Linked DNA regions of Saccharomyces cerevisiae S288C. Changing the gene in region 1 together with any one later gene gives a genetic interaction. Each region holds a gene or a part of one and is shown in the gene's direction. Other genes may lie near its edges.

Region 1 (4,554 bases):
TGCTTGGACGTAGTCTGATCAACGGTGTGCCTAATGGATTGTGCCTGGTATTTGGGATCAAAAATGCTCTCTTCACCAATATAACGTTCATTTTGTACGGAAGTTGCAGCCTTAGCTGTAACAAAGGTGATTTGTTCTGCCTCTGGGTTTGAGCTAGCAGTTGGGCTTTGCTTAGCTACAACGGGATCCTTCTCTGTCGTTAAAACATTACTGTTTGTGTTGCCCATATTTATCAAGTCGTCGTCTTGAAAATCATCGCTAAACATAAGAGAATCATCGAGAAGGTCATCTTGATCCTGTTTGGAAGCATCGAGAGATTTGAGATCAGTATCTTTATTACTGCTGTTTTTACTGTTAGCCTCAGCAGGTGCGGCCATCATTGGGGTACCTCGACTTACTGTATTTTCTATTTTCACCAGGTTCTTCGTCGAGTCGGGATTGGTATTTGTAACTTTAGTCAATTGCCTTCTTTTATTCGGGTATTGTTGTTGTTCTTGATTTTCATGCAAAGTATTCGTTCTTGAGCTTTCGCTGATTTCATCCGTTGGCCTAAACAAATTGTTTTCGTCAAAATCTGGCGGATCGAACTTCACCTTATCGATCTTTGCCAGAAAATCTTTATCGTAAAGACAATTTCCTAGAGCATTACCAAACCCTCTCAAAGATCTTTTCAAGGCATCCGTAACGGCAGATTTCTTGGCCCTTTCGAAAGCGGCAGGTTTCCGTCTTTCGTTCTCCACGGTACCATACCCAATATCTTCCCTATAAGTCCCGCTAGTCAACGTAACACGAACAATTGCAGTACACCCTATGCTAAACTTTCCCTGTCGCTCATCCAAAAAATCGATAACTACACTTTTTACCTCCGTAGACCAGCCATTATATCCAAAGATTTGATTAGCAAGATTAATTACTCTCCAACCTTCGATGTATGCAATCCTGCTTGTTCCAAACCCAACTCTCTTGGAGATATACTCAGGTCCTAATTTCTTGTCCAATTTGGTCTGTATGTCCTCGGAATGGTTACCGAAAACGGGCTTCTTCTCATCCATATCCATAATTTCATTCATCAACAACACACCAAAGCCACCAGAACCTTCAGCAGTTCTTGGCAACCTCCTTGTTTGCATTTGTTGATTCTCAGTGGCAAAATAGCTTAAAAACGCCATTCGATACCGGTCGCGTAACCCGCCCGCCGCTATATTTTTCGTCTTTTCTTAACAGACTAAAGAATATAATAACATCGAGAATCACTAACGGGAAGAGCAGACTCTTTGGCGATGAGTAAGTGTGATTGAGAAGACGAAAGGACATTACAGGGCAAGCAGATGATACAGACGCCAAGGGAGTTGTTGAATCCACGGTACACGTACCATACCATCTTTAGCGACGTGTGCAAGACCCGATTCAACCATTTAGTTACGAGGTTGTTTTTCATATGTTCTATTATCCAAACTGTGGTGATTTCACTGCTGGCGTTGCCACACTCACCGTTATGGGAACTGGCATTGGCATTTATTCCCAATATTTTAGCTCTTAACCTAGTTTCCCTTTTGATCATTGTGACAAGAAAAAATTACATGCATGTAAAGAATTTTGGGTTCGCTAATTCACTTACTTTCATTCTAGGCCAATTGTTATCAGTAAAGTTTCTTGTATACCAGGGAGTCTATAGCATGGGCAGCATCCTTTTATCATTCGTACTGGGTGTGGTTTTCGGACGTGGCGGATCTGGATGGAAGCCATACTATAAGCTGTTTATTTGGCTAGTCGTTCCCACGATTTACAACCTACAACATCATGTCACTGACGCTGACAAATTGTCGTTCAACTGCGAAAACTTTTTCCAGGCCCCACAAGACTACGTATTAGAGCGTGTCAAGAGGATTATGGAGAAGTCAGTCATTCTAAGTGTAATCAGCATGTTCGTATTACCAATCTTTACCACAGTATTTTTTTCCAGGCAAAAATCGGGATTATTTGATTCATTTACGAATGGCGTGCTAGCTGTCACAAATTTACTAATAATCTCCTGCATTATCTTCATCACTTTCGAATTCATAAATATAGCATTTGACGCACATATGTCCATAGGTTGTCTGCACAAGGGCAAGCTAATTTCGAATTTGTCGTCGACGCCGATGGAAACCCTGCTTAGTGGGCTTTCTGCAGACAAGCCATTTACTAGGTTGACTGCCTACCAGGAACTAGCGTATAGGGCCACTTCACTGGATCCATCATTGCGAGCACCAATATATCACTCCAAGTTCAGAAGCAGTAGTGGTAATACTTGGTCATTAATCCTCAATGAATGCTTGAAGACCATTCAGATAAACAATGAAAAGGTTGTGCAGTACCTAAGATCAGTACAAGATCTTGGGGGCTCTGCAACTGCTAGACATAAAAAAAAAGTAGAAAATCTAGATTATATGTATGAGAACGGGAAACTAACAAGCGCCAACGAAAGACTCTTTGGGAACCGACCCTCTATGATGGCGCCATTACGGGATAACGGCTTATTAGATGAATCACCAAACAGGCTGAGGGTAAGAACTGACGATAGTGTATTGCTTAACCGCGGAAACAAGAAAAGGCATAGGTCCTCGTATTACGACAACGATTTAGATGAAACGACACAAACTTTTAACGGCTCTATTTTCACCCACGAAACAACATTTATGACCGCTATGCGTCTGATGTTAAAAAAACTGAAAAATTCTATAATGTCGTTTATTTTCCCTTCCTACGCAGAAAGACAATCATCTGATGAAAGCGACAATTACAGACTATTACCAAATGGCTCCAACAAAGCCCAAATCTCGATAATTGACATATGGTCCATTTCCAAGAAAAGGCAAGCTGAGAAGCTGGTTCCATTGCCCATATGCCACGCAAATAGTGTGGTAGCACTGACAGGACTGCTGATCCGATCAAAGACAGAAGATCCAAAAGGCGGTATCATTGCATCCGTTGGGGATATTCTTAAGACTTTGGAGAGGTCCATCTGTGCACTGGGTGAATTTGCCGATTGGGATCCGGAATCGATGGCATACACTGCCTTCCAAACACAAAGGACAGCCCAAGATAGAGTACAACAAGACAGTGAAGACGAAGATAGCATGAAAGACACTACTGACATGATCAGTGTTCTTTATCAGCTGTCCACCAGTGCTTTTATGGAGATTGTACTTGAATACAATGTTGCTCTGAACGACGTATATTTGGATGCAGACGTGGCCAAGTTGGCGAACTGGTTTCTAGAAGTGTACGCCTCAGGCAACCCTAATGCTACGTAATACAATTCAACCGAGGAGCACCCCTCCTCCCATTTCATGTAAGATAAATACAATAATAAAAATTGGAATACCGCACAAATGCTTTAGTAGAGGCCTAATATGAGCAAAAAGAGCAAAAAGCTACCTTTATCGTTTCCGGGTAGCGAATCAAGGAGGGCCCTTTTATGCTTCAAGAATAATAGTAAAGAAAAGTATAGAGAAGAGGAAGCAATGCTTCCTATCGGAATTAATTCAATTCCTGGTACTAGAAGCGATAACATCACAGTTATACGTTCAAGATGTCACGCATGCCATCTAGTTTCGATGTTACGGAGAGGGATTTGGATGATATGACCTTTGGCGAAAGGATTATATACCATTGTAAGAAACAGCCATTGGTACCCATTGGGTGCTTGCTGACTACAGGAGCTGTCATTCTGGCTGCTCAAAATGTTCGTCTTGGTAATAAATGGAAAGCTCAGTACTACTTCCGTTGGCGTGTGGGTCTACAAGCGGCCACACTAGTCGCACTAGTCGCAGGTTCATTTATCTATGGGACTTCTGGTAAGGAACTGAAGGCGAAGGAGGAACAATTGAAGGAGAAAGCCAAGATGAGAGAAAAGTTATGGATCCAAGAGCTGGAGAGAAGGGAGGAAGAAACGGAGGCAAGGAGAAAAAGAGCCGAATTGGCAAGAATGAAGACCCTTGAGAACGAAGAGGAAATCAAGAACTTAGAAAAGGAACTAAGCGACCTGGAAAATAAGCTTGGAAAGAAGTAATTTGGCTCTTCGATTTGCTGTAAATAAATTATGATGAGAGACAAAAGAATGAACAGCTAATTTCGACTGTAATGAAGAAATGTAATAAAAAAATTCATGATGCTATGTCCAGTATTCAAGAAAAATAATTACAAAATAACAGCGTACATATGAATATTCTTTGTTTTTATCTTGTATAACTATCACTTAAAACATATTTATATCGATAGGTAAATGCTATATCAATCGCTCTATTTACTTGATTTTTAATATGTGGGTTTTTTTTTGCTTGACACATACGTAACGGTAATTGCCAGCTAACGATCGGTACAATTTTCAGAAAAATTGAAACAGAGAGAATCCACCAAATATTCAATTGCAAGGTGACGTACTTCAGATAAACACTTTATTGTACCATCTTAAGCGGCTATATAAAGTGTCATATACACCCTTCACCAAATACGCAACATGTCTGAATATCTAGCTCAGACGCCCTGCAAATTTACTATATGGTCAAGCGA
Region 2 (3,804 bases), on another chromosome or scaffold:
AATAAGGATGAAGCGGGAGGGAAGGGCAGAGGGAAAAGTTCGTATAGTAGAATGAATAAACTTTTATAAACACATGCACCGATCACTCACAGAGGATAAAAAAATGGCACAACAAATATATATATATAGATGCAAATGGCGATTGCAAATTAGGGAATTGGCTTTGTTGTTTTTTATCTTCAGGTAAACTGTACGAAAGGGATAAAAAGAGTAGAATAAGGAAAGGAAAATTGAAGAGAGCAGAACAATTGTAGAACCGATAACAATTGTGACAGTGATTGTGCTAGGCTATACTGTGCCAGAATACGACTGGGAGTGCTGTTCTTCTTATATATCTTGGCGCTGATTGAGCGTATAGCCTAGTTCACCAAGCAGTAGAGAGAGTGGCAATGAGCGGTTGAATTTCGACTGCGACTTGTTGGCACAACGCGCGCGCGGCCGGGCCATGTGAAGATTTTAACGGGCGCAACGATTCGGTGGGCAGTGGAAATTGTTGGGCGTTGTTCAACAAGATGAAGCATTCCCCTTTGGATAACGTCAACGCATATCGGGCCAACCTACAGGCAATGAGCGAAAGCGACTGAAGCCGAGAGATGTGCCCGGAGTTTGTTGTTCTTGTTCTTGTTCTTGTTCTTGTTCTTCTTGACGGATGATACTAGTCGCAGTCGTGGTGACTCTGGAGGGCGTAACGGCCGTGATGCGGCCTGAGCTCACTGTGACGTCGATGCATGCGCGGGTTCGTTGCGTTCAGGCCTGACGGGCGATTCCCCACCAAGTATAAGTGTCATGATATACGCGGCACCTGAGCAGCACATTAGGTCCCAATTCAACCCAACATATATAATGGTTCTGTATGGGTATTTTAAGTGTGCAAACAAAATGTGAGTTACCCGGCTGTTTGCTAGTCGCTGCGTACGAACTGGCTTGCTAAAGCTGGGTAAAAATAATTTAATCGCAAAAGGAAGAAAAGGAAATCGACGATTCATTGAAAAAAAGAGAAAATACTGAAAAAAAAAAGACACCGACAAAAAAAAGAGAGAAAGGAACCTTTACGTAGAGCAAAAGGGAAACATTTGTTGCGTTTAATTAATAGAAATAATAGGTTATTGCATTCGCCCTCCATTGCAGAAAAAAAAAAAAAAAAGACCATTTTCCTCTTCTACTCTCTTTGCCTGTACATACTACACGTTATAGCGTTAACAAAAGCAGATAGAAAAAAAAAAAATAACCAAGATAATATAGGTATACTTGTTTAACAGATCACACACAATCATGTCGTGGCTTTTTGGAGATAAGACACCTACCGATGATGCGAATGCTGCCGTGGGCGGCCAAGATACAACCAAGCCTAAGGAACTATCGTTGAAGCAGAGTTTAGGTTTCGAGCCAAACATCAATAACATAATATCAGGTCCTGGTGGAATGCATGTCGACACCGCTAGGCTGCATCCTTTGGCTGGTCTAGACAAGGGTGTGGAGTATTTAGATCTGGAAGAAGAACAACTATCCTCGTTAGAAGGCTCACAGGGTCTGATCCCTTCCCGTGGGTGGACCGATGACCTATGTTACGGTACCGGTGCCGTCTACCTGCTGGGACTTGGTATCGGAGGGTTTTCTGGTATGATGCAGGGTCTGCAGAATATTCCGCCCAATAGTCCCGGAAAATTGCAATTGAACACCGTCCTGAATCACATTACTAAGAGAGGTCCCTTCTTAGGTAATAATGCGGGGATTCTCGCGTTGAGCTACAATATCATCAATTCTACAATAGATGCACTAAGAGGCAAACATGACACCGCGGGCTCCATTGGCGCTGGGGCCCTCACGGGCGCTTTGTTCAAGTCTTCAAAAGGTTTGAAACCCATGGGTTATTCCTCGGCAATGGTGGCCGCTGCGTGCGCCGTCTGGTGTAGTGTCAAGAAAAGACTACTTGAAAAATGAGCAACACAAGAACCTACTCTCTCTCTCTCTTTCTCTCTCTCTCTCCCTCTTCGCTTTTCCCCCATGCACTGATGGCGCTTGTATATAGCATTTGAAAAATAATAGTACGTAACGCAGAAAACAAACCAATGAAAGTAGAAACCCGGAGAAAAGATCTAAAAAAACAAAAAAAAAAGATGGAAAGAGCGCATGTATGTGTAGATATGTACATATATACAACTACTTGTATGTTATTTGCCTTTTGTACTGTTAAGCTATTGTTTTCGATGGCCAATTAAAGTAAAACAAACCGCTCACTCTCGGGTATTTCCCGAAACTGTCAGAGCCGTCCCGGCCCACCGATTCGCCCGGCAAGACCTGCTTGGAAGCAGCACAAAGCCCTGCGGCCTCTGTACACCTCACGCTAAATAGCTGCTAACGATCAACACCTGACCGAGATAACAGCAGCAAAGAACCCGCAAAAAACTGCGCCGTCTAGGCCTCAACCCTTGCTTCCTACAACCAAACAATGGTAAAATATACAAAAAAAAGAAAAGAATGCTCTTTCTTATTTCCCTTTTAACCTAACCATCTTTTGTTTTTTGTCGTTTAACCTGGAAAGAATGTTCTATTATATAAACACTCTTTACTACGTCTTTAGCTTGAAAAAACTCTTGACAAGTGCACCGATACTCACCAACATCGCACAATGAAGATTTTAACCCAAGACGAAATTGAAGCTCATCGCTCACATACGCTAAAAGGTGGTATTGAAGGTGCCCTTGCCGGATTTGCAATCTCTGCTATAATTTTCAAAGTCCTACCAAGAAGGTACCCAAAATTCAAGCCTTCGACTCTAACATGGTCCATAAAAACCGCCCTTTGGATCACCCCTCCCACGGTCTTGACTGCTATATGTGCGGAGGAGGCCTCGAACAATTTCGACGCTACAATGTACGGATCCGGTTCCTCCTCGGAAGACGCACTAGATGAGCACAGAAGATGGAAGAGTTTGAGTACAAAGGACAAGTTTGTCGAAGGTCTATCTAATAACAAGTATAAGATCATCACCGGTGCCTGGGCCGCTTCGCTGTATGGGTCGTGGGTAATCGTGAACAAAGACCCCATCATGACCAAAGCTCAGAAGATCGTGCAGGCAAGAATGTACGCTCAATTCATTACCGTCGGGCTGCTGCTGGCCTCCGTTGGTTTGAGCATGTACGAGAATAAGTTACATCCTAACAAACAAAAGGTCAACGAAATGCGCCGCTGGGAAAACGCACTGAGGGTCGCCGAAGAGGAAGAGAGACTCGAGAAAGAGGGAAGAAGGACCGGCTACGTTTCTAACGAAGAAAGAATAAACTCCAAGATCTTCAAGTCGTAAACCTCGTCGGTTTATCTGCCTCAACTTTATTTCCGCTCCTCGTCTTTTATAAAATTCCTTTCATCAATACATCTATATATTCGAATATATAGATAAACCAATACAAAAACATACTGAAATTTTTTGAAAACAACTAAAACTATTCATTGCAGTTACACGTGAATGCTAAACTTTATATCGCTCTTGTCGGTCCCGCGGAGTTAACATTTAACGGCTTCTCGCGCAATAACCGGAAAAATTCCAACAGTTTCTTTGTAATATTATTAAGCCTTCTTTTTTCCCGGAATCTATAAGAGGGGACGAAAATTAGCCGCTATTAATTCTGGTATTGCCACCTAGACAAGAAGTAAACAGACACATTACGTTAGCAAAAGCAACAATAACAAACACAACCATGGACAAGAAGAAGGATCTACTGGAGAACGAACAATTTCTCCGCATCCAAAAGCTCAACGCTGCCGATGCGGGCAAAAGACAATCTATAACAGTGGACGACGAGG

What was found. Genes that interact genetically often act in the same process or in processes that back each other up.
Region 2: mutations in RCF1 (region 1) and RCF2 impair growth when combined (synthetic growth defect), as found in Saccharomyces cerevisiae (3 studies listed by BioGRID, with this or other methods).

What each region holds. Positions count from the first base shown.
Region 1 is NC_001145.3:212,861-217,414, forward strand, and holds RCF1 (respiratory supercomplex assembly factor RCF1), read left to right. Parts: upstream 1-3,574; coding exon 3,575-4,054; downstream 4,055-4,554. Other genes in the region: recombinase RAD52, read right to left, coding at 1-1,070; NDC1 (Ndc1p), read left to right, coding at 1,329-3,296; USA1 (Usa1p), read left to right, coding at 4,502-4,554. UniProt on the Saccharomyces cerevisiae protein: Assembly factor that plays a role in the assembly of the respiratory chain supercomplexes (SCs) composed of ubiquinol-cytochrome c oxidoreductase (cytochrome b-c1 complex, complex III, CIII) and cytochrome c oxidase (complex IV, CIV).
Region 2 is NC_001146.8:661,641-665,444, forward strand, and holds RCF2 (Rcf2p), read left to right. Parts: upstream 1-2,629; coding exon 2,630-3,304; downstream 3,305-3,804. Other genes in the region: protein transporter TIM23, read left to right, coding at 1,273-1,941; ARE2 (sterol acyltransferase), read left to right, coding at 3,699-3,804. UniProt on the Saccharomyces cerevisiae protein: Assembly factor that plays a role in the assembly of the respiratory chain supercomplexes (SCs) composed of ubiquinol-cytochrome c oxidoreductase (cytochrome b-c1 complex, complex III, CIII) and cytochrome c oxidase (complex IV, CIV).